4 linked regions of the Sus scrofa genome follow. Each later gene encodes a partner of the first gene's protein in a complex. Links are inferred from orthologs where the notes say so. Each region holds a gene or a part of one and is shown in the gene's direction. Other genes may lie near its edges.

Region 1 (7,037 bases):
TTGATGTCATCATTCTTGAATAAGGAAGGAGAATGTGGAGGTCTGCGGCGGCGCTGCAGGTGACACTTTAAAAAGCTGCTCTCTGGAGTTCCCGTCACGGCTCAGTGGAAACGAATCTGCCTAGCATCCATGAGGACACAGGTTTGATCCCTGACCTTGCTCAGTGGGTTAAGGATCCAGTGTTGCTGTGAGCTGTGGTGTAGGTCGTAAAGGCAGCTCGGATCCCACGTGGCTGTGGATGTGGCCAGCAGCTGCAGCTCCGATTCGCCCCCAAGCCTGGGAACATCCATGTGTCGTGTGTGCGGCCCTAAAAAGACAAAAAAAAAAAAAAAAAAAAAGCTGCTCTAAAAGACCGTTCTAGGCGTTCATGCTGTGGCACAGTGGATTAAGAATCCAACTTCTGTGGCTTGGGTGGCTATGCAGGTGCGGGTTCCATCCAGGCCCGGCCTAGTGGGTTAAAGGATTCCGCATAGGTCCAGCCACGGCTCATATTCAGTCCCTGACCAGAGAACTTCTATATACCATGGGTGCAGCCATTAAAAAAAAAAAAAGAACAAGAAAGTTCTAACTCCAGGTATATCTTAGTATAAGCCACAGAATTTATACTAGCAGAACTTGAGATTCATTGAGTCGGTGGCTAAGCTCTAGAATGAGCTTCACAAACTTTTCCTGTAAAGAGCTATGTATTTAATTATTAGAATGTACTGGTTTGTTAGCATGGCAAATTATTATATAATGTGGTGTAACAAACATTATTTAAAATCCTGTAGCAGTGTTTTTAGAGCAAAATTAAGATGTAAGGGGAGTTCCTGTCATGGCACAGCGGAAACGAATCCAGCTAGGAACCATGAGGTTGTGGGTTTGATCCCTGGCCTCTCTAAGTGGGTTAAGGACCCCGCCTTGCCATGAGCTGAGCTGTGATGGAGGTCGCAGACGCGGCTGGGATCTGGCATTGCCATGGTTCTGGTATAGACCCTCGGCTACAGCTCCAATTCGACCCCTAGCCTGGGAACCTCCATGTGCCGTGGGTGCGGCCCTATGAAGACAAGAGACAAAAAAAAAAAAAAAAAGATACCAGGACATTGCAGAAGCTAGTTTTGTTATATGGCCCATAGTAAATGCTAAGCAAGCAAAGGTTGTTGAATTCATAAATTCATTATATGCTTTGTATTTCCAGGGGGAAAACAGGTTTATAGTAACGTGAAAACCATATTTATATCTGCATTTGGAGTATGGACTGTATTTTGTCTCTGAGCTGAGATCCCGTTTATTCTCTCTTTCAGGTATTAGAGGACACATATCTTAACTGGGTCCCTCCAAGGACTAATGCCTAAACCATCTCAGCATGGCCTGTAGTGGAGGAGGTGGGCCAAGCCAGCCTCCCTCACCTGCGCTCTCCTCTGTCAGCCCTGGAAGTCTTCCCACATGTAGATCGTGTTCCCATAATATATGCATGGTGTCGGACTTTTTCTACCCAAATATGGGAGGCGTGGAAAGCCACATTTACCAGCTCTCTCAGTGCCTGATTGAAAGAGGGCACAAGGTCATAATTGTCACCCATGCTTACGGAAATCGCAAAGGCATCCGTTACCTCACTAATGGCCTCAAAGTCTATTACTTGCCTCTGAAAGTCATGTACAACCAATCTACAGCCACGACCCTCTTTCACAGTCTGCCATTGCTCAGGTACATATTTGTTCGGGAGAGAGTCACGATAATCCATTCACATAGCTCCTTTTCTGCCATGGCCCATGATGCCCTCTTCCACGCCAAGACAATGGGCCTCCAGACAGTCTTCACGGACCATTCCCTTTTTGGATTTGCTGATGTCAGCTCGGTGCTTACAAACAAGCTTCTAACTGTGTCTCTTTGTGACACAAACCACATAATTTGTGTCTCTTACACTAGTAAGGAAAACACGGTGCTAAGAGCAGCACTGAATCCTGAAATAGTGTCCGTCATTCCTAATGCTGTAGATCCTACTGACTTCACTCCAGACCCATTTAGAAGGCATGATAGTGTAATAACTATTGTTGTTGTCAGCAGACTTGTTTACAGAAAAGGTAATGAAATGATAGCTGCAGTTGCACTGCACAGCCTTTTTGTTTTCCTTGTAGAAAGCTGTTGAATATTTGTGTATGATGATTGTTGGGCTTTTCGTTCTCTTGTACGGTTTTATAACTACTTCTGCATTAAATACAGCCAAGAAGGGTCCAATATTTTGTCCATCCCAAAGGAGGAATTTGTGCCACAGTGGTAAATCATTTAAAAGAGAAAACAGTAGCCTGCTGGTGAATATGTCAGGTCTTTTAAAAGTTTCCCTACACGTGCAGTAAGAACTCCAGGGCCCACTCCCCCACAGAACTGTTTCTTTCATTGCAGATATGTTGAAAACTAAGAATGTGACAGGGGTGAAAATTAAAACCAGCTATTACTGTACTATTTCAGGGATAACCCTAAGGAGTGTTTTGATTTATAGCTTTCCTTTTTATGCATATGCTCAAAGTCAGTGGGCTTGTTCTGCACGTTGCTGTTTCGTAGCTTGCTTATTTCCTTTCATCACAGATAAGACGTTAATGGCAGGTAAGTGATGAAGGAAGGGGGATGAGGCGGCCCGGAATCCAGTCCCGGCTCCATCTCGTTGTGTGATGCAAGACAAGCGGCTTAACGTCTCTGAGTTTCACGTTTTTTCCCTGTTGTGTGCTCTGGGCAGCTTGGTAACCGTGGAAGGGTTCAGTGGTTCCTATGAAGGACTTAGCCCGGGTTTTACTTCCTAAGTGTCTGCTGTTGTCGGGGATTGCTTTAGTGCCTCTGCAGCACTTTGTGGATCCCGAAGTAGAATTTGTAGAGCCTCGCCCATTCAAGGTCTGAAACAGTCCGGTTATCCAAAACATGGACTTCTCACTGGTATTTGCAAACCTCTGCAGCAATCAAAATGGTCATTAAAAGTAGAGAATTATTAAAAAGATGTTATGCACCCCCCTTTTAAACAATTTACTTAAAATGTCATTAACACGCACTGTATTGCCGGTAGCTTGATGTAGGCCTGCAGGCTTGGGAGTACAGGTGCACTGTTTGAGCTGCAGTCACCTACAAAGAGCACAATTTACTGTTGCCAGTTTGGGTCACTTAAATGCAGTGAGAACCTAAAGATGTGTGAAGTGCTGTGCTTCTGGATTTTTAATTTGTTTTTTGACTTGATACAGTGGTTCAGATTACCCTCTAATCTGACAAGAGCTTTTTTCTGTGTCTTGATCGAATTTTTCAAACAGGTCGGCTTAGTTTTGTGGAAACCCCTTTTGTCAGTTTGTCATTTAATTAAGTAATCCAACACCGTAACAAGTACATGGGGCATCACACAGATGTGTGGGCAGAGGTAGCTGATTCTTGGTAACCATGAAGCTCGGCCGTGCGATCAGAGGTTCCAGGGTACTAGGGGGTGGCCCAGGATCCAGATGGGGGCTTGGCTTCGGGTGCTTCATTTTTGGAATGCAGAGCCTAGGTCCATGCTGCCATCCACCACGCGGAGGATGATGAGAATCTTCTGAGCTGCATTTTCAGGGGTGAAGGCAATAACGTGCTTGTTCTTTCCTTGAAGGTGTGAACAGACCTGCATTCCGTGTTCTGAATCCCTCTGGGGATATTGATGATATGTTGTTGGTTGTAACTTTAAAAATGTGCCTAATTTTTTTTTTCACCGAATACTATAGCTTTGTGAGAAAGCTCGCTAAGAAAGAGTAGGATGCATGTGTGGTCAAGGATTAGAGCAAAATTAACTTACCTGTTCAAAGAGTGAACTTGTTACCTTTATTTCACTAATGATGGTATTTTAGCCAGCTGAGCTAACCACCAACACTGTGAAGGTACAACCTTTCCTGTTCTCAATTCAATAATATAACAAACCTTTATCAAACCCTCTCTGTATGCCAGGCACTGTGCAAAAAGTAACATTCTGAGAAGGAATGGCCCCATCTTTAGCCTGAAAGTGAGTAGTTGTATTAATGGTCCATTAATTATTAATAAATTAATTTCTTTAGGAGGTGTTCATTTGGACCAGATATCAAAGGCCGCTTGGAACGTATTAAGTAAGAGAGGATAAATCGAAATTCGTATCAGGATTCCTGGCCGGCCGCTTCCCTCTCCCATGGAGCCCGTTTTGCTCTCATTCGGGGTGTCGCAGCGCCCCGTGCTTGTGCAGGCACGCCGGGCTTGCTCTAGTGGTAATGACGACTCACATTTATATTCTGCAGTTGATAAAGCCTGTGCATGGTACTGTACCTCACTTGACCCTCCCACCAGCTGTAGGGTAGATGTTATCTGCATGTCACAGACAAACTGAGTCTCAGAGAGGGTAAGTAACTCACCCAGGTTACACAGTAAGTAACAGAGATGACAAACCTGAGTTCATTTCTTCTCAAGGTCTCCTGTTCCCTCCGCCCTTGGCCCAGCCACCAATATCTAGGTATAGATTCAGAAGATTCTTTAAAATATTGTTAGACTGTGCTTTAAAAGCGCTGGAATCAGAACTTGCCTTGTCCATTTTGTGTGAATACGGTGATTGAAAATCTCTTTGTTACGTTCCATTGTGTTAGACTCTTGTTAGAGGCACCAGAACCTCTTTTGTTGTGTGTGTAGGGGGGGGAACCTTTATTCTTAGAATAACGTTATAGATCATTGATAACATTAATCAGTTCCATTTCTTTTAAGGTAGTTGTCAGGATTAAATGACAGTGCATTTAAAGTACGTTTGCCTGACACAGTAAGCACTCAGTAAATGTTCGCAATTATGATTATTACTCTGTATGTTTTTTTTTCCTTTTAAAGAATGGATCTTAACCTTTGTATTAGAAGGGAGAGGGCAGGGATAGGCAAAGGAAAAGAGAATCATAGGAGGCTAAATGTTGAAAGTCATTAAGACACCTTCTGGTTTATCTGGAGATCCAGTTGATGGACTTAGTAGTAAACTTGAAACAAAGACAGCTAAAATTTTAATGAGAAGCTTTCATAATTCAGAAAAGCTACTTGTGAATTTGTTTGCTAATGCAATCATATTTTGAAAGTACTAGCAGAGTTTATTTAATAAATCCTACTTTGAATTACTTAATTAAAATGACCCATATATATTATTTCTCCTACCATCCTTTTAATAATTGATCTGCCTGTATTTGGGAAGATTGACAGACGTGCAGTTCTTGTGTGTGTGTGTGTGTGTGTGTGTGTGTGTGTGTGCGCGCGCGCATTTCTTAAATTAAGAAACTTTAAGGAGCTTATTTTACGTTTAGTTTTGAATGTGTACAATTTGTAATTGTTAATGAACTACATTCTCAAAATCAACATTGCTGTCACTTTGAATGGCCACTTTAAGACAAGCAGGGCATGCTTTATTTTACTGCTTTATGTTACCTGAGGTTGTATTTACGTATTATGAGAAAACTTTTATTTAAAAAAAAAAGGTCCAAGGTGCATCCTTTTGTTCTACGGCCTGTGATGATCTGGCACTTGCGGTCCTGCCGCCTTCATTTTCTGTCATCCAGGAGAAGTGAGCCCTAGCAGGTTTGGATGAAACTATTTCTTAGAAATTTTGCCAGTACCATAGTGTTCACTGCAAAATCCTCTGTAGCACCTGCATCCTCAGTAAAGTGGCAGTAGCAGTTATGCTTTGCTGCTCAGCCTTTTCCTATAGCAGGAAGTAGAATCATAGGCTGCTCGAATTTCATAGCTGAACGAGACCTTGGACTTTACCTTGTCTTTTCATTTTCTCTGTCAGGAAACTTTCCTATTACCAAAGAACTTGCTCATAAAAAGACTGGGACAAGACCCAGATCTCCAGTCAGCTCTCCTGCTCTGTAGAAAAGTTTAAAATGTTAGCTACCTCAAATGCTGTTTGTAACAGGCAATGTGTCAGTACAGGTGAATAACAGAGTAGCCCACGAACTGGGTGTGTGGAAGGTCACAGTGGGTGTCAGTGGATATATCTTCAAGAATTGCAAGTCTTGGGAGACCCCCCTGGCATTTTGCAAAAGAGTTCACCCGTCCAGGAAAGGTTTCAAAGAATTAGTTTGGCTACTTAAACTGTTTAAGTAGTTTCCAAAGTGAGTGGATTCTCAGTAGTTCTGATAAAATTTTAAAACAACATTAGTATCTCCAATATTCAACTTTATGTTTTCAGGGACCGATTTGCTTAGTGGTATAATACCTGAACTCTGTCAGAAATACCCTGATTTAAATTTCGTAATTGGAGGAGAGGGACCAAAGAGAATCATTTTGGAAGAAGTTCGGGAAAGATACCAGCTCCATGACAGGTATTGATGGATTCCATGTTGTCTTGGGTGAGAAAATATTGCTTAACCTAAATTCGGTTTTGGCTACCTGCCTGCCTTAAGCAGGCTGCTTCTCCTACATGGAAAAATGCAATGCAAGACCTGTTGTTTTTTTAAAAAGTTTATATAAAATGGGAAACCTTAAAGAATTTATAACTTTGTTTTTTTGTTAGCCCGTGATTATTTGTTTTTAGGGGGCAGTGGTTGGGGCACGCTAGCGCACACAGAAGATCACTTTGCTAGGAAATGCTTGCAGGTTCTCAGGCCCTTCTGAGTTGTAATTGAAACAGCATGGCCCAAATCGCGGACATTGCTCAGCACATACGGAGCCTAACACTTCTCTTCCGCAGTAACTGAGATGACACGTGAGTTGTGTCCATGTGAGGCGTCAGTGGAAAAGGGACATTTTCCTGTTGGGAACTGACACTTTAACATTTACTTACCAAGGCGTATTAACATTTTCCTTGAGTACCAGCTGATTCTGGAGAAGGTGAAATTTGATATGTGTGACCAAAGTGAGAAATGGACTAACCATAGGAGTTTTTAACCAAAGAGCTTTGTATGACTCTCTTTTAGATCCCAGGTGGGTGCTCTTTAATCATTTGAGGTGGAAGACATTGCAGGTAGTGAGGACGAAGTATAGTACGGGTAGCACACGTGGCATATAAATGGTATTTCTTTTGTGGCATGATTTTTACTCCCCTCTTTCTTCTCTCA
Region 2 (6,228 bases), on another chromosome or scaffold:
TTCGTGAGGCTGGCCTTGCTAAACCAGGGAGTCTTGTCAAATCTTGGAACAGAAACCTGGAGAGAAATGGAAAGAGATCATTTTGCAGGATTTATTCCTCCCGACCATTGCCATTGTTAGGATGACCAAAGTCAGTGCAGTCAACACTTTATAAAACATTTTTAAGTTTTGTATTTGACCCTGTTGACTCTCCCAAGAGTAAACAGTGTTATCTCCATTTTACAGATGAAGAAATCAAATCTTAGTGTGATTTGCTAAGTCACACAGCTAGTGAGTGAATTTAGGTTTTCTGACTTTTGTGTCTACTATATCCCTTTGCTTCTTCATTATTCCTAGCTGTTTATGTATCCTCTAAAATGTCCATGACTTCAACTGAACTTTATCAGCCTCCTATTCTAAGTGTTTGGCTGCTTTCAGTCACAGGGCCCTTCTCCCTCATCCCTTCTAGGAGACAAAGAAGAAAGAACTGTACTTTGAAGCTACAGACAACTGGATGTCAGTCTTGGTTAATGAAGCTGTAAAACAAGTGGATGTTGATATTGACTAATCCACTTTCCAGCAGCATGGCCTTGGACAAGTCACAACCTCTCCCAGCATCAGTTTTGTCTTCCGCGAAAGGACGACATTATTATCACTTCACAGATCAATGCATGAGTCAGAAAGTTCCACGAGGGCAGGAATTTTTTTTTTTTTCTATTGCTTAGCTGCTGTATCACTAGCACCTACAGCAGTGCTTGATACTTGCAGAAATTTAGTGAATGTGTCTAGTGTATTCATGGATGCTTCGAAAGTCCCTAGCCGAAGGTCTGGTTTCATAATAGAGCGCGATCAAAGTAGCCATTATAATCTCTCTTCTCCCAGTCCAGCCTCTGTCCTTTGCCTTTCTGGTGCCAAATCCCAATCTCCATGTCCAGGATTTGCTTTCCAGGCATCACCCATTCTTCTAGGGAGAGGAGCCGGGAGTTCCCTTGCGCGGCCAGGAGGGGGCAGCAGTGACCTCAAGGCCGCGCGGGCAGAGGAAGGACGCTCTGGCCGCAGAGGTTGTGGCGGCCCCGGAAGTGCTCGGCCGCCGGCGCGACCCCGGCGCCCCGGATGGGGAAGGAGGCGGGCGGCCGCCCTCGCCCGGCCGCGCACCCCTAGGAACTCGCGGGCAGGTGGGTTCCGAGTGGGAGTCAGTATTTCCGGGCCTCCTCCGCCATCCCCCGCAGGGCCGAGGCTGGGTGAGGGGTGGCGGCGGGCGGGGTACACCCTCGGGGACACCCTCCCCTTCCCCACCCCCTCCCCAGCCCTGTCCCCGACCCAGCGGGCGGGCGTTGCCCTTTTCAGCGCCTGGGACCCTCCAGCCCCCTGCGGCGGCCGTGAGATGCCGGGGCTGGGGTCCCTGCTGCGGTGAGGGAGCCTCCCAGGGCGTCTGGTTTGTGAAGCAAAACCTATCATGGTCTCCATGGAAGACGTAAGGTCGGGCCATAAGAATTTTCTTCGCAGACCTGCTGGATGATCTTGGTATTTCTGACTCTTAGTTTTGCAGTAGTGGAAAGGAGATCATTATCTCCGATCCTTCCTAGAGTTTCGCGTTAAATAAGTAGAATGATAACTCTTTTTAAGGCTGCTAAACTCGGTCAAGGGATTAAGAATCTCCAGTCCTTGGCTTTAGTTAAATAAACCTTAGAGCTTGTACCTTTATTATTATGAGGTTTTTGTTTTTAGACCGGTAACTTTTTTCAGTAATAGATGCCTCTGAGAACCCAGTAAAAGCTTTGGATCCTAGCCTTAGAAATCTGCATAAATTACAACTACAAATATGCATTGACTGGGAGGGTTGTTGAAGGGTCTGAAGCCCATCCATAGACCTCAGGGATATGTGAACCCCTGAGTTAAGAACTAGTTTAGAGGGAGACATGTGAAGCCTTTGGGAAAGAAGTTTCCTTTGAATCTGGCTCCACTAATTACCACTGTTAACTTGGGCTAAAGTTACCTAAGCACTTTGAATTGCTGCTTTATTAGTTGGGTTAATCTCCAGGATTGTGGAGATTAAATGAAAGAAGCTACGTAAGGCTCTTAGTACATAGTATGCACTCTTGACAAATGGTAGCTGCTAAGGGATTATAATGTAAAATCTGAAATGAAATTTTAATGTCCTCAGTTACATGATGGCCACCATATATATTTTGTTCAGACTTCTAATAAGCTTATGATAACCCAATAAGTTGGTTTGATTTTAACTCAGTCCTACCCTTGACCTTTCACAACATTCATAGATTCACAGTCTCTCTTTTTCTAGGAACTTGGCTATATTGTCCTGCCTCAGAGAACAAACTCATCTACTAAAGGTCTAGCCTGGGTTCTGCCTTTGAAAGCAAGGGAAGGTTGGTACCATATCAACCACATTCAACATGAAATTTCCAGAGAGGTCTTATTTCAAAACTTTATAAAGAACAAGAACCACATGGACTTCTACAACGGAGATTGAACTAGCCTGAGTTTGAGCAAAAGGATAATGTGTTCACAGCCTGTAACTAACACCAAAGAGGCCAAGTGGCAGAAGGTCTTGTATGAGCGACAGCCCTTTCCTGATAACTATGTGGACCGAAGGTTCCTGGAAGAGCTCCGGAAAAACATCTATGCCCGGAAATACCAGTATTGGGCTGTAGTATTTGAGTCCAGTGTGGTGATCCAGCAGCTATGCAGTGTCTGTGTTTTTGTGGTTATCTGGTGGTATATGGATGAGGGTCTTCTGGCACCCCACTGGCTTTTCGGGACTGGCCTGGCCTCTTCATTGATTGGCTATGTTTTGTTTGATCTCATTGATGGAGGTGAAGGACGGAAGAAGAGTGGGCGGACCCGGTGGGCTGACTTGAAGAGTGCCCTAGTTTTCATTACTTTCACATACGGCTTTTCACCGGTGCTGAAGACCCTGACAGAGTCTGTCAGCACTGACACCATCTATGCCATGTCAGTCTTCATGCTATTGGGCCACCTCATCTTCTTTGACTATGGTGCCAATGCTGCCATTGTATCCAGCACACTGTCCTTGAACATGGCCATCTTTGCTTCTGTCTGCCTTGCCTCACGCCTGCCCCGGTCCCTACATGCCTTCATCATGGTGACATTTGCCATCCAGATTTTTGCCCTGTGGCCCATGTTACAGAAAAAACTGAAGGCATGTACTCCCTGCAGTTATGTGGGAGTCACACTGCTTTTTGCATTTTCAGCCTTGGGAGGCCTCCTGTCCATTAGTGTTGTGGGAGCCATACTCTTTGCCCTTCTGCTGGTTTCCATCTCATGTCTCTGTCCTTTCTACCTCATTCGCTTGCAGCTGTTTAAAGAGAACATTCATGGGCCTTGGGATGAGGCTGAAATCAAAGAAGACTTGTCCAGGTTCCTCAGCTGAGTTTGGTGACTTCCATTCTGTTACTAAGACAAACTGATAGACTAGCCCTCCAACTAGTATAAGATTCGAAGGCAGAATTCCATTCTGGAAGCAGCATGCTGATGTGGGTGGGAGATCAGAAATCAAAAGAAAAAGTTAACCAAAGGCTTGGGTGGTGAAGGTGCTTATCCTTTCTGTTATTTTGTGGCGGGAAAAGCTTTGTGGGGCCCTCTTCAATTATTGCCTCTCATTCAATGTAACAAATGAAGTGATGTGGTTTCTATCTATTAAAAAAATTAACAACACATCCATCAAGTTGTCTCACAATTTTTCTGTAAGCAGAAGACAGACAAAAGGGACACAAAGAATATGTGTGTGGATTTCCTGTCGTGGCTCAGTGGAAACGAATCTGACTAATATCCATGAGGACGCAGATTCGACCCCTGGCCTTGCTCAGTGGGTTAAGAATCTGGCGTTGCCATGAGCTGTGGTATAGGTCACAGATGAGGCTCGGATCTGGCATTGCTGTGGCTGTGGTGTAGGCCAGCGGCTACAGCTCCAATTGGATTCCTAGCCTAGAAACCTCCATATGCCATGAGTGCGGCACTAAAAGAGAGAGAGAAAAAAAATATGTGTGCATGTAAAGTCACTTCTGTCTGCCTTTTTCTGTGTACTAAATGCAGGCTCTGTTATTTATCTCCAGCTCAAATCCTAGGACCCTGGATGCTATATCCAGTTTTGTTGCCTCAGATCACAGAATTGGTCACCTAACTGACTAGAGTTTCTACTCAGTTCTAGAAGCATGTATGTAATTAACTGCAAGGGGAGTGTGATGTATCATAATACATAAGCAAAATGCTAGGGGGATCAAAGAGGCAGGAGGTCAAAGCAAGCTGGAGTGATGAGGAAATATTAGAGGAGATGGCATTTGAGTTTAGTCTTGGAGGTTAAGTGGAATTCTCTTAAGCAAAAGATGATTTGAGGGCAAAGTAGCAAAGACCTTTAGGAGGCAGGTCAGCAATGAGCAAGTGAAGCTAGCATGCTTTGTGTGACTAATGGCAGCTGGAAAACTGCAGATGGCATGCCCTGTCCAAAGAAGGTAATCACTGCTCTGTTCTGGCTGACTGTTTCTAGTCAGAACTTTGTCCTGGCTTCATAATCCTTAGGAGTCCAGGTAAAGTTTAAATGAAGTCACCATAGCTGTAATTGTAATTACAATTACAATCTGACTTGTAAGTGCTGTCAAATTTAAATCAGACCTGATAACATGTATGCAAAATGTGACTACCACTGTGCAGTGCACCATGTATGCTCTTAGCAGGAGCATAAGGAAGGGGAAGAGTTCAATGGGAGTTACAAGGATTTGAGGAAAAGTTGGAATGGGAGATTTAACAGGGGTCTGAATATTAGGCTTTATACGCAAGTAATGAGCAATTCAGCTTATCTAAGGAGGGAGTAGGTTATTATATCTTGAGCCAATGAATCAAGTGTTCTTTGTCTCATTTTTTTCATCTGTGAAATGGGAATGAAACTACCTCTAGGACTGTGATGAGTAAATGATGTGTATGAAAAGTGCTTTGAAGAATGTCAGACACAGCTCTGAATGTGTTAGCTATTGTTTTTGAGCTGACATGTAGGGAGACTTAAAGAGGGCAGAGAGTGCAAAATGTATCAGACACCTCCAGGAATAGCTGGTTCTTCATAAAAATTCATTTGGGGCAAACTCCTGTACTATCCCTTCTCACTGGAAATTAATTTCAAGTCAGAAGTTTCATCAGGGCAGTGGTATTCCTAAGAAGTAGTGTTTTTTTGTTTTTCTCAAAAGTCTTGAACAGGATTGGCAACCTCTGTCTTCAGATCTGGCACCTCACATTCTTAGTCTGGTTTTAATTTGGACTGATGACTGTAGTGTTTCAGGGTTAGGATGGTAGTTTTCCCTAAAGCCAGTTAGATTAATTTCACAGTCCAAGGACACTGACTGATGTGGAGGGAGGGGTTTTAGAGACTGACGTGTAGAACTCAGAGCATCCATCTGCCTGTGTTGGGTCTGGCTCATGCCTTGACTGACCAGAGTTGGCTCATAATTATATCATCCATATCAGGAACAGGGCCAAGGGGTAGTGGTTGAATGTAGTAGAGAGTTGTATAAGATTTTTTTAATGTTTTTATACATTTGGCTTATTTGAATGTGTCCAATGATCAATTTTAGGGAACTCACATAGCAACATGTTGGTGAGCAGAAAGCTCCCCAAATTTGAATCACTTTTAAGAATACTTCCTTAGCAGGATGAATGAATGTGTCTGCTGTCATTTTCAGCTCTGTCACACTATATAGTATTTGGAATTACCCTAGTCCTGATTCTGTTCAATCTAGTGGTTGTAAAGGTTCAGTGTGGAGGTGGCAGGGGATGGAGTATTGTGGGTTGGATGTGAGGGTACAGGTTGGGCAGCAGATTCAGTTCAGATAGAAAAGAGGTGGCTGTGTGGAGAAGGATATTCCAACCAGAGTGAATAGCGTCTATGCCCAAGAGCACAGGGCCTCAGTGCATTCTGGCAGTGGAGAGAAGCACAGAATGGTGGGCCATAGTGAGAGGCTGAGGTCTGAGAGTGCTGAATACCTTGAATTATTGGAACCTGTAAATTAAGGAGCTTTTGATAAGGGGTTTAGGGTTCCTAACAAATGTGTGTGTGTGTGTGTGTGTGTGTGTGTGTGTGTGTAAAATTCTGGGAGCAGTGTTCAGGCTGTATTATGGAGGCTAAGCATGGGGGATTCTTGTGCAATAGTGAAAAATGAGAGTCTGGACTAAGAGTGGTGACAGTGGGCAAAGGAGATATGGGTTCTGATGAGAGGGATTTTC
Region 3 (7,636 bases), on another chromosome or scaffold:
CAGAGGTCACACAGCTAATATGGTACCTAAGCCCAGAGCTCTGTGATGGGAAAGATCCGAGCCATGCCAATAGTAAAAAGGACCCATTTCACAATTTTATACAATTTATACAATTTTATACATTCAGCTCAGGATACTACCATGCAGAAATAAGTTGGATTCCTTAATTTCTGAGGGCTGTTGAGAAACATTTTTGCTTTGACATCTTGCAACTTCATATTTACATGGTTTCGGCTAATACTTCACACTCTCAGATGTTCCTTAAATACTGGATGTTGATTTGGGGTGTTATAAACTTGAGATATTGTCGATATTTTGCTAGTACTCTCCATTTCTCCCCAATACTAATATAAATTAAACTGATCTGCTTCCAACCTTCTTCGTGGATGCACACTGAAGCTATTTATAACTGGTTAGAAAACTCAGTTGATGAGGCTCTATCAGCCAGGTGAGGTGAGTTGAGACTAAAAAGCTTGTCTTAAGCATGGGTGCTTGCTCCTACCTTGGGGGCTGGGTTCCGGCCTGGCCCACCAGAGCTAGCCAAAGTCAAGCTCTGCATTGCAATACCTTGCTGAACCCTCTTTCCTATACCTCACTCCTTCCCTAGAGCCCAAGGTATCAACTAACTACACCTGAAAAATTAATTCCTACTATGGTCTAGTGGGAAATAACATAGGAACTTAACAACGGGACCTCTTGAGGCTACATCCCTGACAGCTGCCTCAGGCTGAAATCTTTTGCACATTAGTGAACAAAGAGCATCCAATGATGTAGTAGATTTTTTAAAGTAGAGTGAACAGACAACACAAATTGCCTCTGCTTTTGCACTGCTGAGTGGAAGAGAAATTTGGACATACAATCTTGTATGTGTATCTATATATCCCTCAACTCCTATCCCCACCTCCCAGGAGCTCAAAGTGTGAAGTGGTAAAGCCCCAACGATGCAAGAAAAGATTCAATATTTAGCGAGACAACGAGAAAATTTGGACGTTCCCCTCGTGGCTCAGCAGGTTACGAACTCAACTAGTATCTATAAGGATGCGGGTTTGATCCCTGACCTCGCTCAATGGGTTAAGATCTGGCTTTCCTGTGGCTCTGGTGTACGCTGGCAGCTGCAGCTCGTATTTGAGCTCTATCTAGCTTGGGAACTTTCATGTGCTGCAGGTGCGGCCCTAAAAGGACAAAAAAAGGGGGTGGATTTTGATGACTAACCAAGAATCTTCTAGTATACTGGGCTGCAAAGAATAGAGAAAATAAAAATGACAACATATGCCATTAACTGAGCATTCATTTGCCACAGGCATTTTTCTAAATACTCTTTGCATTCATTAGCACATTTTAAGCCCCAGGATGGAATTATATGAGGTAGGAACAATAATTAATCTAATTACACAGATAAGAAAGCTGGGGAGGGAGTTCCCGTCGTGGTGCAGTGGTTAACGAATCCGACTAGGAACCATGAGGTTGCGGGTTTGGTCCCTGCCCTTGCTCAGTGGGTCAAGGTTCCGGCGTTGCCGTGAGCTGTGGTGTAGGTTGCAGACGCGGCTCGGATCCCGCGTGGCTGTGGCTCTGGCGTAGGCCGGCGGCTACAGCTCCGATTCGACCTCTAGCCCGGGAACCTCCATATGCCGCGGGAGCGGCCCAAGAAATGGCAAAAAGACAAAAAAAAAAAAAAAAAAAAAAAAAAGAAAAAGAAAAGAAAGCTGGGGAGTTAGGAGATTTGCGGGAGCCCTACAACTAGTAAACGATGCACCTGGGACCAAGGTGTCAGGCCCGGACCCCCGGCACTTACCTCCTACACTATAAGAAAGAGATCAAATCCGCATCATTTTCTGGGAGAGTCAGAAGCAAATGCGGGGCGAGAAAAAAACCACTGTGTGGATCACCCACTTAATTAAAGGACACAGTTACTTAGACTCCTTGCGGTTTCCAAGCTCATTTACAGAAGCAAATGAGTGGTGCTATTATTATGCCATTGAGCCCAGGGTAAGAAACTGGGCATCTTAAGTTTAAGAGGACTAAGCCATTCTTTTCCCGTTCTTATATTTTTTTTAATGAAAGGAGAAAAAAAAAAAGCCAAACAAGGTTATAGGAAGTGTGGTACTGCAAAGACTGACAGATACACATAAAACAAGTAATGCTTTTTAACATACCCAGTGTGACAGTGTGTTGGAAACCTCCTTTTGGTGATAACCACGGAGGTCCAAGTCTATCACTGTGTGACTCTGAGGTCCGGCCACTGGCTTCCTGGAGGCCCTGCGACAGGCCCTGGTGAAAACTCAGGACGCCTCCACTTGAGCGTGGGTTTTGTCTGCAACCTGCAAACGGGCAGGAAGAGCCGCAGAAAGCCCAGGCTGCAGGCGGGGCTCTCCATACCGAGCGGTGCCGCGGGAAAAGCAGTCGGGTCCCGAGCGCCCTCGGAACCAAAGAGCGGGCCTCCAGCCGTCGGGGGCAGCGTTTCCCGAGCACCGGGGGGCGGGGCCTGGCCGCCTGGGCGGGACTCCCCGGGATCGGCTGGAGCGGCCGGAGCGGCCCAGGGGGTGCGGAGGTCCGCGCGCCGGCGGCCAGACCATGCTGAGCGGAGCGCGCGGTCGGCTCGCCTTAGCGCTGCGAGGGACACGCGCGCCGCCGTCCGCGGTCGCCAGGAGGTGCCTGCACGCTTCGGGCTCGCGGCCGTCCGCGGACGAGAACAAGAAGGAGGGGAAACCGCCACGCGCCTTCGACCCGGCGCTGCTGGAGTTCTTGGTGTGCCCGCTGTCCAAGAAGCCGCTCAGGTAAGATTCGTCCGCTGCGGCTTTTCCCTGGTGGCCCCCTGTCGCCGGGGAGACGTTCAGGTCACCCGGGTGTTCTTCGCTGCCATGTTTTGGACCCGGGCCCGCCAGCTTCCCGGGTACTCGCTCCGCCGCGGGAAGGGCGGGAGGAGGCCCCAGCCGAGCCCCAGGCCTCCCGGACCAAACCGGCCACTCGCAGGCCTGGATCCTGGCGGGCAGCTTCTCCGCCGGCAGCGTTTTAGAATCTCGGGGGAATCCTTCTTAAAACGCAGATCTCTAGGCAACGCCCCACCCGGGCTCAATCCGAAGGCCTTGGGGCCGAGCCAGAGCAACTGCGTATTTTCTTGAAAGGATCCCAAGTGATCTTCCTGTACAGCCAGGGTTATGAACTCGGGATTCGGAAGACTAATCCATGGCATTCAGATTTTTAAGGCAAGGCGATGAAAAATGTGATAGCTTCCAGATTGTTGCGAAAACGCCGGGTAGGATCTTAAGCGCATCAGCTACGTGTGCGGCCCTTTGGTTTTTAGTTCTCGACCAGCCGGTTCTGTAAAGGCCTTCTTAACCTTTCACCTAGACTCTTTAGGATAAACATCTCTGCAGTTGCAGGCTGCTAAACCTGAACGTGGACAATACTAGCAAACACCGCAGTGTCATCAGTGGCTGCCTTTGGGTGGTAGATTGCTGCTTCCGTGGTTTCCTTCTCATGGATCAGTGAGGCAGGTGTTCTGATAAGCGAAGAAGCTGAATTTTCCTCTCGTGTCTGTTCCAGTAGTAAATTAGCTGGGATCGTTTGAGGGTTTAAAAGAGTCATGAAGGAATATTTGGATGAAAAGGAGAGATCTTTTCTTTTTTTTTTTCCACTAAGGCATAGCTTAAGAATAACGTGAAAAAGAAAATGAGAGAAACAGACTAAAATGGGAACAATTAGAGATTCCTTTTCTAAGAGAAATGGTTGAATTGGCTACTGCTGCTTTTAGAATGAAAAACAGTCTAATTCTGCTTTTCTGGCTCTAACTGTGTGAAGAATTGGATAAATGTTACTGTTTATTGAACCTCAGACTCTTCCGGGATTCATTTTGGTTTTCTTCTGCCCCTCAGATATGAACCATCGACAAATGAATTGATTAATGAAGAGCTGGGAATAGCCTATCCGATTATTGACGGGATTCCTAATATGATACCACAGGCAGCTAGGATGACACATCAAAATAAGAAGCAAGAAGAAATGAAGCAGCACTAGGTCATACGTAAACACAACACAAGGAAATTTTCTAAACACCATCCACCTTCGAAGAAGCCAGCGTGGCGGGTGGTGGGTGGGAGAGAAGAATGTTTCTGTCTCTTCCCACGCTGACTGTCCTTGTCCCCCTGGTCTCTCTGGGAGGACTGCTGTACTCCGCCTCCGTGGAAGAGAGCTTCCCCCAGGGCTGCACCAGCACAGCCAGCCTGTGCTTCTACAGTCTGCTCCTGCCCATCACCATCCCCGTTTACGTGTTCTTCCACCTCTGGACTTGGATGGGTATTAAACTCTTCCGGCATAATTAACGCAGCCGGAGCCACGATGGTATTTAAACTCATGATATGCTTGAGTGAGTGTGTCCGAAAGCTCCGCCACATGGAAATACTGGAAACCCAGACTTTGCAGGAAAGAGGCTTTGCTTATTAGCCTTTGTCAGAGGTTTAGGACTATGTGACGTTTAAGCTGCAAGAGGCTTCTTTCTTGTATTTTGGTTCTTCCCCTGCTTTTTGAAGGTTCTGATTTATACCTGGTCTCTCGGAAGAAACATTTCAACAAAGTGGCTTGTTGGAAATTAGCACCCCCACAGCCATCATCTGATGGCTTGTTCTTATCCCATTCATAATTAAAAATTACTAATTCGAAATTGTAGGTTTGTTTTTAGGTTCAAAGCCTTTGGTAAAGCCACATGTGAAGGATGACTGAGATAATTCCAAGGAGCTATGGGGAGTAATTGTAGAGAAATGCATTTGGACTAGTGTGATATAAAACTATAATAAAATGTAAATTTCATGTACTTGCCAAAATTCTGAGTTGGTAAAATTGCCTTCATTTCTTTGGCATCAGATGGCTTACATTATTAATAAGATATTGACATTTTCCATAAAACAATTTGCAGTTTTGTGTTTGGTTTTTTTTTTTTTTTCCTTTTGGTCACAAGAATATAATTCAAAGACAAGGAAATTATATGTTTAGAGAGGCACCCAAAATAGAACAGAATTTCCCAGGAAAGTATGTGCTGTGAGGAGAGGTGGAATTGAAAGACTGGCAAATAGCTGATTGTGTCCTGTTGAGTTTAGTTAGGGCGATTATTGAGCCACATTTCAGTTTATTTTTCTGCCATAAGAGACCTATTTATTTAGCAATACTAAGGGCATGAGCATTTGACACATTAATAGTTATTGATTTTCCAGAATTTTCAATAAGACTGATTAGTACAATAACTGTTTCAGAAGTATAACAAATGTTTCAGTATTTACCCTCATGAAGCCTAAGAACTCAATGTAACCTTAACTGATTCTTAATAGAATTTTAAAGTAGTGTAAAAGAAGCTTTAGACAGTGATTCTTCCCCTTAAAAAGAAAATTTAAAACATGAGGTTAGGCATTCCCGTCGTCGTTGTTGTGGCTCAGTGGTTAATGAATCCAACTAGAAACTGGGGGGTTGTGGGTTTGATCTCTGGCCTCTCTCGGTGGGTTAAGGATCTGGTGTTGCGATGAGCTGTGGCGTAGGTCGCAGATGCAGAGCAGATCTGGCATTGCTCTGACTCTGGCTCTGGCTGGTGGCTACAGCTCCAATTAGACCCCTAGCCTGGGAAGTTACATAAGCCGCATGTGCGGCCCTAGAAAAAAATAAAGTATAAGGTTAGATGTGTTTTCTGTTGCATTAATTCAGTGTATACACTATAGTGCAAGTCACGTTTTAAAAATTACCCTGGGGGGTTCCCGTCGTGGTGCAGCGGAAACAAATCCAACTTGGAACCATGAGGTTGCAAGTTCGATCCCTGGCCTCGCTCAGTGGGTTAAGGATCAGGCGTTGGCGTGAGCTGTAGTGTAGGTCGCAGACAGGGCTCTGATCTGGCGCGGCTCTGGTGTAGGCTGGCAGCTGTAGCTCTGATTCAGCCCTTAGCCTGGGAACCTCCATGTGCCTTGGGTGCAGCCCTACAAAGAAAAAAAAAATTGCCCTGGGGAAAAATACAAATAATCAGGAGACAATAGAAGTACCTGTCATTTCCTGAAATGGTATTACTGTTCTTTTTAATTTGCCCTAAATATCTCTATAGTCAGTGTAAATGAAACCATTTTGCTGAAAGAACAAGCACCCTGTTCTGAAAAGTCAGTTTCAGCTTGCAAAAGTTAAGCATTTTAATCATTTTGGAGGAAACTGACTAGTGTCTCCCTGGGGGACCTCAGTGTTAACTCTATCCTTTCACTAGTAGAATTCCTCTAGCAATCACTCGTATAGTACAAGCTACATAAGGGATAGTTCTAATGAGCATATCACACACAAATATGAGGGGTTGGGTAGGAAGTATCGGCACCATTTTACAGGTAGGGAAACTAGAGCACAGAGATTAAGTGGTTTACCCAGAGTAACAATTAATACTTGAACTGAAGTTGAAACCACTTGGCGGTGTGACTTGCCTTCTCAGTCCCTGCAGAGCGAAGCTTTATTTTGAGCAAATTCATCTTTTCTATTTATGTGAAAAATGGAATGAGGAATCAAAATGCTTAGATTCAAATTCTGGCCCAAGCCTGACGCCCTTACTGTTTTCCTAAGTCCCGTATGTTTTTCGCTCTATTCTAGCACTTAACCTTGCACGTAAGTGCCTGTTTTTGATAGTAAATTGTTGGTTTTTAACCGAATGCTTAGCCCAGAGGCAGTAAGCACTTCCGAGAGGCAGAGGCAGTAAGCACTTCCGAGAGGCGTGAACGCATGGCTCCGACAAGCCTTCTAACTAGGCAAGTTCACATCTCGGCGCGTCATCCTCAGGCCCCCGAATCCTTCCCCGCTTCCTTTGTAAAACCGAGGAACAAGCTAACTCCGTGTGAAAGCACTCTGGCACCGACAGATGGCACGGCTGCATGGGGGGCTCTGGAGACCAGCTCCCCAGTCAACAACCCCAACTGGTGAAAACGGTAGGCAAGACCCTTTCAAGCCTGGAAACTGTCCTAAGGGCAAACAGCCCTGCGAGGAAACAGACAAACTCGTTAAGGACCCGTTTTGTAACATCTGCACCAGCAGGCAGGTCCCTCCTCTCATCTGGCTGATTTTTGAGGAGGTTGCAGCCAAGAGCACAGGGCCCCCACGTCCCCCACCTGAGGGGCAGGGTGTTTTCCCACGAGGTACAGGCTACCAGCCGAATGAAGAATAATTATAGAATTATAAAAGTGTACATGACAAAAGGCTTATTATTTATTTGCAGGACGATACGTATAAAAAATTGTCTTGGGATCTTTACCGCATCTTCCACTAACAGCACAAAGGAAGTGAAGGGTTGGGAGCAGAGCTGTGGTGAATGACTGCTATCTTCTGCGCTTGCCACTAGGTGGCACCTGTGGCTAACTCACTGGACCACAGGCAGTGCCACTTTTCAGATGGTATAGAGAAACAATTTTTGGAGTTCCCATCGTGGCGCAGTGGTTAACGAATCCGACTAGGAACCATGTGGTTGCAGGTTCCATCCCTGCCCTTGCTCAGTGGGTTAACGATCCAGCATTGCTGTGAACTGTGGTGCAGGTTGCAGATGCGGCTTGGATCCCGCGTTACTGTGGCTCTGGCGTAGGCCTATGGCTACAGCTCCGATTCCACCCCTAGCCTGGGAACCTCCATATGCCGCAGGAAG
Region 4 (7,751 bases), on another chromosome or scaffold:
TGCTAAGTGAAAATTCAGTGTACCAAATGGTAGGGGGAGAAGGTGCCTCTCAGCCTTGAGATGAGCTCAGACCCGAGGAGAGAGATGCTGCCCGCTGGAGCAGGCCATGCCAGGCTCAGACCTGATCTCCCCAAGTGAAGACAGCACACACGACCCCTCCAGAGGCCTGGCGTCCCCAGACACTGGGCTCTGCAGCATTCCAGAAGTCGCCAAATCTTCAGGCTGCTTGGCTATGGGAAGCTCTTACTTGTGCCAAGCCCTCATTCTGGGTCCTGGAGATACAGCAGGGACCACAGACCCCATTCTCAGGGAGCTCATAGTCATTTAGGCTGGATCCACAAAAGTAAATCAGCTAATTAAAATGCAGTTGGGAGTTCCCGTCGTGGTGCAGTGGTTAACGAATCCGACTAGGAACCATGAGGTTGCGGGTTCGGTCCCTGGCCTTGCTCAGTGGGTTAAGGATCCAGCATTGCTGTGAGCTGTGGATCCCACGTTGCTGTGGCTCTGGCATAGGCCGGTGGCTACAGCTCCGATTGGACCCCTAGCCTGGGAACCTCCATATGCCGTGAAAGCGGCCCAAGTAATGGCAAAAAGACAAAAAAAAAAAATTAAAAAATAAAAATTAAATGCAGTGACAAGTATCCTCCTGGAGACATACTTGGGGCTGTGGAGCACAGACGGAACCACTGCCCTGCAGTGAGGGCTTCCCGGGAAGTGGGGGATTCCAGTGGACCTGATGGGTGAAAAGCAGCCTCTAGCCGTGGGAAGACAGTGTTCCAGGCCTCGAGCTGAAGACCTGGTGGGTGATCTGGCCTCCAGGCCTAGGGAGGGGCCTGCACACCGGTCAGAAGGCCTGTCTGGGCTGTGGCACACACGGGACCCGAGAGGCAGAGGGGAGGGAGGATCCCCACCCCGGCCTCATTCCTGCAGTGAAGAGCGGCTCGCCAGAGAAGCTTGGCAACGGTAAAGGGGTGCCCTCACAGCCAATCAAAACCAGCCCCATCCCAGCAACTCAAGCCAGACCCTCCTCCTCCCACTCCAGGCTGGTGAATCTTTTTTTTTCTTTCTTTTTTTTTTTTTTTTTTGCAAGCAAGCAAAGTCTTTATTACAGGAAAGCAAACAGCTCCCAGGACAGCTGGGAAGGGCAAGAAGAGCCCCACTCTCTATTGGGGTTTTTATCCCTTAAAGATGGGGGGGGGGTAACCAACGTGAGGTCCAGAAAGCTGTGGTTTTCTCCCATTGGCCTTGCCCAGTTCAGTCCTTGTCCAATAGGGTCTTAGGGGTGGAAATGTCCCGTAAGTCCCATGGTGTCTTTGCCCTTCTCTTCCCGTAGCCTGAGTCAGGGGGCTTTGAGATTAATGTCCGTCTGGGCGTAGGTACACTCCCTGGAGGAAACAAGGCATGTGGGGATGTTACTCCCTGGAGCCCTTTAGCCGCAAATGTTAATCAATAGACATATCCAAGAATGCATCGAAGCCCAAGCTCCTAACACTGACTACCTGAGTGACTATTCTGCCTCAGTGCCCCCCCCCCCTGCCCCCAGAGTTGGAGACTTTAACTTTGGAGGCGGGGGGACAATGACCGACTGCTCTGACTGCTTCCTGCTGACAAGGGGTGTCCTTAGGGAAAGTGGTTAGGTCTCCACTCATGGCACGGTCGGTTGAGTGGGCTTCAATACATTACCTTGGGTACCCTTTCTTTCACTATCTGTAGGTTGATAGCTTTTAATCAGGACATAACAAAGCAAGACCTACAATTAATTATCTAGGGTCCAAATAAAAGGCTCAAGATCACAATGATGACTATGGTGAACAAATATTTCCATCAGGAGGAGGAGGAGGTCAACCCGTTCCAGAGGGCAGCTCTAAAAGCTGGATGGAGCTGGATCAGACATCTCACGAATCTGCTGCCGGAGATCTCGCAGGGAATCAGACACGTTCTGCGAATAATCAGGAATATAGGCACAACATTCAGATTTTATGACAGCACGGGTACCTCCTTGGCCTGCACTGAGTATGTCTAAGGCCATTCGGTTTTGCAGCACTACTTTTCTTATTTGTTTTTGTTCCATATTTAGGGTAGGAATAGCTTCTGCAGTATCATTAAGAGATTGTGGAGTAAAATTAGTTAAGGCTTCCACCCTCAGCATTATCCGGTGAACGTTTGTCTGCACCCTACCCTCAACAGAAGAGTTGGGGCCACCACACCAGGAAGTAGCGCCCTCGGGTTCTGGAGTCGGCTGCACCCTCTACTCGGATTGTGATCTTCAAGTGCTTGCCTCTTTCTGAGCCTCATTTTCCCCGTCTCAAATATGGGACTTTCGACCCCCCACCCCATCCCGCTCTGGCCTTGGGACTCGGATATTGAGATGGGGTTTTTTTCTGGGTCGAGTTCGACCCGACTGAGACCATAAATGCAGCCTATCTGGGTTCCCCACTGGGTCCCATTTCCCAGGGTGATTCGGAAACACGGCCCACAATACTCTTGAAAACTACATTTCCCGAAATGCAAAGGGGAGGCGGTGCCTGCCTGTCTTGGGCGACGTAGTCCTGGGACTGCCTAAAGACTACGACTCCCGACGGGCCCCGCGGCCCAAGGCCAGGAGGGCCCGGATGCGGAACCGGATGTGGCTTACGGCTCCGGTGCCTGGAGCGCTGGGGAAATGGTGAGCTTGGGGCTGGGAGTCCTGGGAATGAGGGCGTCTGGGTGTGGGGTCCTAGGTCTACTCAGAAGCTGAGGCTTGAGCTCTCGGGAGCCGGGATCACTCTCCCGCCGGCCCATCGTACGGGTGGTAGGTCTTTAGCCTGCACTCTGTCTCAAGCCAGGAAATGGAAACCTCGTCAGCCACGTCGGATACGCCTGCTGAGTGAATGGGCGTAATCAGGCGGCAACTCCCCCCTCCGTTAGTGCACCTAAATGGAGGGTCACTTCCTCAGTTGAGCTTTCCCTTTTCTCCAGGCCACAGGGACAGACCAGGTGGTGGGACTCGGCCTCGTCGCCGTTAGCCTGATCATCTTCACGTACTACACCACCTGGGTGATTCTGTTGGTATGTGTGCTTCCTCGTCCGCTCTCACCTCCTATCCCTAGATCTTGAAGCCAACTCCTAACATTTAAGCACGTGACAGGCCTACCTGCCCATGTAATGAAAGCGTCAGAGCAGCAGTAGGAGGACGACACTAGCGGTGTCCCCATTGTATAGATGACGAAGCCGAGGCTCAAGGAGAAGGTTCAGACCTAAGGTAGAATCCTGAACCACTACACTGTAAGGTCCTGTGCCTTTAATGGGAGTTCTAGTCCTTCTGGTTATCCTGCGGGCTCCTGGGCATGACAAGTGCCAATGGGTTTTGTGAGGGTCTTTGGGATATCCCCCCCCCCCCCGGTGGAAAAATGTGTTAAAATGTGCAGTGTGTTTGGGAATCAAAATCTTTTTTTTTTTTTTTTTTTTTTTGCCTTTCTAGGGCCGCTCCCGTGGCATGTGGAGGTTCCCAGGCTAGGGATCGAATCGGAGCTGTAGCTGCCGGCCTACACCAGAGCCATAGCAACGTGGGATCCAAGCGGCATCTGCAACCTATACCACAGCTCATGGCAACGCCGGATCCTTAACCCACTGAGCAAGGCCAAGGATGGAACCCACAACCTCATGGTTCCTCGTCGGATTCGTTAACCACTGAGCCACGACAGGAACTCTGGGAAGCAAAATCTTGCAGAACTTGATGTTCTTTGGGAGAAAAATCTTAGTAAAGAAAACTTTTGTGGAGTTCCCGTCATGGCGCAGTGGAAACGAATCCAACTAGGAACCATGAGGTTGCGGGTTCAGTCCCTGGCCTTGCTCAGTGGGTTAAGGATCCGGCATTGCCATGAGCAGTGGTGTAGGTTGCAGATGCGGCTCAAATCCCGCATTTCTGTGGCTGTAATGTAGGCTGGCAGCTGTAGCTGCGATTCCACCACTAGCCTGGGGACCTCCATATGCCGAGGGTGCAGCCCTAAAAAGCAAAACAAAAACAAAAACAAAAGATCTTGGAGCCCAGATTGGGATTCCTCATGTACCCTTTGCCCCTGCTAAGCTGTGGGGGACTTAAGCCAGGTCCCCAGCAGCAGCTTAGAGCAGGCACCAGGGAAGTACCTAGTATACCACTTGTAGAAAAATGAAGGAAGGGAACCAACCAAAGCACCCAAGATGCCATCATCTTAAAGAAAAGCAAATGCAGCCCCAGCGCTTTGACGGGGTCAGCCCCTGAGACAGAGGAGGTGGGATGTTTGGGCTTGGGGCGCTCAGCAGAGCCAGGCATGCTCACCGGAGCTCTGCCCTTGTGCCAGCCATTCATTGACAGTCAGCATGTCATCCACAAGTATTTCCTGCCCCGGGCCTATGCTGTTGCTATCCCGCTGGCCGCCGGCCTCCTGCTGCTCCTCTTTGTGGGTAAGTTCTCCCAACCCTGGGCGGGGTGTCTGAGGGACCCCATGACCCTCTCCTACACCTGAACATGCGGCTGTACTTTGGCCCCTGCGGTACACCTGCTGGAGGCTCCTTGCCCTCAGTTCACCCCCTGGGGTTTCCGTGTTCATCCCTCAGGGCTGCAGGCTTCTCGATCCTCAGGCTCACTGGACTCTAATGGGGTGTCTCCTTGTTTCCTGCTCCTTCCACCACCATCACCCCTCACCCCCTTGTCACTTTGGCCTCTGATTCCTGCACCCCTCTGACTCCCAGGGTTTAGTGTGTGGGCTTCCTAAGGCCAAAGACTGTATCTTCATCATTACTGTGTCCTCAGTGCCCAGCACATGCTGTGGCACTGAGTTGGTGCTCAAAAAAGTCATTTGAGTGAGTCAGCAATCAGGTGTCTGGATGATGGGGTAGGTGGATGGTAGGTGCTGAGTGGGCAGCTGGGGAGGTAGGTGGCCAGATGGTTGACTAGCTGAGTCGATGGATGGTTGGGTGGATCTTATTCCCTGTAAAATCGGAAACACAAATCCAGCAGGTGGCCTGTGGTCAGCCCTCGGCTGATGTTTGTTGAATGAATATAGGTGGGGGTGTGGCTTAGCGAGCCACTTGGGAGATGACCGGGGGAACCTGGAGGGTGGCTGGGTCGGTGCCTGGCCCCGCCTGCGGGTCCCTCTGTCATGCTCTGTCCTGCTCCGGCCTCCCAGCAGCCCTGAGCCAGGACCTTAACTGGCCTTTCTGGCCCGTGTGTTCCAGGAGTGTTCATCACCTCCGTGATGCTGAAGAGCCAGAAGGTGACCAAAAAGGCTCAGTGAGGGCCTGGCCGATATAAGGCTGCGGCCCTTTCCGTTTCTTCGCCAGGGCAGACCCAGGCGGGGGGCCCACAGGACCCATCCAGGCCCTGAGGCCCCCCTCAAGCCCAGCTGCCCTGAAGGCCCCCCCCGGCCCAAGGGGGACGGAGCTGTTCAGGACTCGCCCCCCAACTGCCCAGAGCCCCTCCCCTCCCCTCCTCCCCCTTCCAGAAGCCAGGAGGGAGGCGTCCCTGGAAGTCTCCCTCTCACCCCCTTCTGGCTCAGTGCCCGAAAGATGCAGCTCATCGCCCCTGCCCTCCGCCACCTTCGGACTCCCCGGCACTTTTCCCTGCGGGTCTACACTCTTGGCTCACTTCCCCACCTGTCACATGCTGGTGTTGGACTTGGCAGGTTCTGGGCCATCACAGGACCTCTCCCCACCAACCCTGCTCCTCCCCAAAGGCTGCTTTCCCAGGTCTGACATAGGCCCAGGCCCTGCGAGGATTTCTGGACCTGGAAAGCTTGGGGGGAGGCCTGACAGGCTGCCGGCACATTAGGGCGGCCACGGTAGGGCCCCCCATTGACTGCTTCTTGTGGAGGCCCAGCCCCCAGCCCCGTCTGTAGTGGGGGCGGGGGGGGGTACAACAATAAACGTTGACGGTGTGTTTGTCTCAGTGCCATCCTGACCGGGGGAGCTGGGCGGCCCAGGGGCTGGAGAGGGGGCTGGGAGCTGGCTTCTGCCTTGGTCTCAGGTCAGGAGACCCTGGTTTGTGCAATGAGGGTGCCTCAGGGGCCTCCTGGGGTTGTACATGGGTCTGGCCTGATGCTGCTCCCGGGGAGTCCGTGGGGCATGGCAGTCTGCCAACGCCACATCACCCTCTCCCCTGCCTCATCTGTGCCAGCTCAGCCAGCACGGCCTGGTATTTTAAGGACCCTCAGGCCAGTCCTCTGAAAGCTCAAGCCCATCATCTATCTCTGGTACCCGGCCGCCCAGCTTAGCGTGGCTCTGAGCAGCGAGGGCTGCTGTGAGCCAGAGCAGGGCTGGTTCCACTGTGTTTAGGTTGGCTGGCACAAGCCCCAGCCCCAGTCCCCGGCAGTGGCACCGTGTCCCTCTGGGCAGCCAGCTCTCCTGTCCACAGTGCCTAGTGTAAGCCTTCATCCCCTCACATCGTGGACATTCGTTCTCCCCCGCTTAGCAGAGGGGCCGCCCTCATCAGAGAAAAGACACCAACTGCCGTTACACCTGCCTGTCCTTCCCTGTTCCTCTCTGCACCCTCCGGGCCAGGCAGAGCTGCTGGCCAGGGCTCTGGGTCCTGTCTCCTCCCACTGCTGTAGCAGGAACCTCATGTCTTAGGATCCCTCTCAAGGGAACAGCCTCTTCCTCCCAGCTGGTCTGCTCAGGGTTCGATGAATGTGTTACAGGCTCCATTTAAGGGATCCCCCCCTCTCTGCCCCATCAACCCAGTGCTTCCCTCCAGGTCTCTCTCCTTCACAGCCAGGCTTCCCAAAAGGAAGTCCCGGCATTTGCTCACCTCCACGGTGCTTGGCAGCATTCTAGGAGGGCCGCACTCAGACCACCTGTGACGTCCAATCTTTAAATCCAAAGCATGTTTCCTTGGCCCCCCTCTGCGATGTTGGCCAGTGACATCCCCCGGGTGCACCTTCAGAGGCTGGATGACCCATTCTACTTTGTGTGTGTCTCTCCCTCTCACCCATGCTCGTCTTCTGCCCTGAACAGAGCCTTTTCACCCCACACCTAGAGGTGACCTCATCCCTAGCCAGGCTCCAGCCCAGCTTTCTCCTGAGCCCCGATTATTGCACATGCACCTGCCACCCACCTGCCATCCTCACTGGATGTCATAGTGGCACCTCAGATTCATTCCATCATGATCTGAATTCTCAGACTCCCCACCTCCCTGCACAAATCCGGCTCTCCCCTCATGCCTGCCCCTTCTTGTGACTGGCGTTGTCATCCATGTCCCTGACTCCAGCCAGAGCCTGGCAGCCATAGCTGAACTTGGCTTTCCTCTTCCACCCCGCATCCGTATGACCCCCCCCCCCAATCCTGTCAGTTCTTCCCTCCGCAGGCACCTTCCTGATGCAAAGCCCATCCTCTGCCCTCACTCATCAAAGGCTTCCTCACTGCTTTCCCTGCCCACAAGGCCCCCTCCAAACTGACTGCACTACCGCCAGTGGCTTTTGAAAACATTTGAGCATCTTTCTCATACAATGCTTCTCTGGGTTCCCATTCCTCTTCCTCCCATGGATGGCAAGATCCTGTACGCTCGCTCACTCCAGCCACGCTGTCCTTTTATTTCCTGGGACTCACTGAAGTTCTCTGCACGTCCTGCTCACGTTGGTTCAGCATACACTTCTCCAACACCAGTTTGTGCCAAATACTGAGCCAGGAAAGGAGCCTGGCATGGTTCCACACTCCCACTCTGGGCAAGTGCAGTGTGGGGATGAGGGGAGATAATAATAAATGAACTGGACCGTCTCTGACCGTGTTGTGTGATGGAG

What was found. Proteins that work in one complex are often made in the same cells at the same time.
Region 2: PIGA (region 1) and PIGC share a complex: the UniProt entries of both Homo sapiens proteins name them as parts of the glycosylphosphatidylinositol-N-acetylglucosaminyltransferase (GPI-GnT) complex. The link is inferred for Sus scrofa from reciprocal best matches to the Homo sapiens genes PIGA and PIGC.
Region 3: PIGA (region 1) and PIGY share a complex: the UniProt entries of both Homo sapiens proteins name them as parts of the glycosylphosphatidylinositol-N-acetylglucosaminyltransferase (GPI-GnT) complex. The link is inferred for Sus scrofa from reciprocal best matches to the Homo sapiens genes PIGA and PIGY.
Region 4: PIGA (region 1) and DPM2 share a complex: the UniProt entries of both Homo sapiens proteins name them as parts of the glycosylphosphatidylinositol-N-acetylglucosaminyltransferase (GPI-GnT) complex. The link is inferred for Sus scrofa from reciprocal best matches to the Homo sapiens genes PIGA and DPM2.

The regions. Positions count from the first base shown.
Region 1 is NC_010461.5:11,878,030-11,885,066, reverse strand, and holds part of PIGA (phosphatidylinositol N-acetylglucosaminyltransferase subunit A), read left to right. Parts: exon of another isoform or gene 1-141; intron 142-1,283; 5' UTR 1,284-1,345; coding exon 1,346-2,063; intron 2,064-6,169; coding exon 6,170-6,302; exon of another isoform or gene 6,303-6,988; coding exon of another isoform or gene 6,989-7,037. UniProt on the Homo sapiens protein: Catalytic subunit of the glycosylphosphatidylinositol-N-acetylglucosaminyltransferase (GPI-GnT) complex that catalyzes the transfer of N-acetylglucosamine from UDP-N-acetylglucosamine to phosphatidylinositol and participates in the first step of GPI biosynthesis.
Region 2 is NC_010451.4:114,822,248-114,828,475, reverse strand, and holds PIGC (phosphatidylinositol N-acetylglucosaminyltransferase subunit C), read left to right. Parts: upstream 1-2,497; coding exon 2,498-3,391; downstream 3,392-6,228. UniProt on the Homo sapiens protein: Part of the glycosylphosphatidylinositol-N-acetylglucosaminyltransferase (GPI-GnT) complex that catalyzes the transfer of N-acetylglucosamine from UDP-N-acetylglucosamine to phosphatidylinositol and participates in the first step of GPI biosynthesis.
Region 3 is NC_010450.4:130,525,072-130,532,707, forward strand, and holds PIGY (phosphatidylinositol N-acetylglucosaminyltransferase subunit Y), read left to right. Parts: upstream 1-2,499; 5' UTR 2,500-2,571; coding exon of another isoform or gene 2,572-2,774; intron 2,775-3,872; coding exon of another isoform or gene 3,873-4,014; 5' UTR 4,015-4,103; coding exon 4,104-4,319; 3' UTR 4,320-4,912; downstream 4,913-7,636. UniProt on the Homo sapiens protein: Part of the glycosylphosphatidylinositol-N-acetylglucosaminyltransferase (GPI-GnT) complex that catalyzes the transfer of N-acetylglucosamine from UDP-N-acetylglucosamine to phosphatidylinositol and participates in the first step of GPI biosynthesis.
Region 4 is NC_010443.5:268,418,421-268,426,171, reverse strand, and holds DPM2 (dolichol phosphate-mannose biosynthesis regulatory protein), read left to right. Parts: upstream 1-2,614; 5' UTR 2,615-2,662; coding exon 2,663-2,665; intron 2,666-2,958; coding exon 2,959-3,048; intron 3,049-4,319; coding exon 4,320-4,422; intron 4,423-5,196; coding exon 5,197-5,255; 3' UTR 5,256-5,899; downstream 5,900-7,751. UniProt on the Homo sapiens protein: Regulates the biosynthesis of dolichol phosphate-mannose. Regulatory subunit of the dolichol-phosphate mannose (DPM) synthase complex; essential for the ER localization and stable expression of DPM1.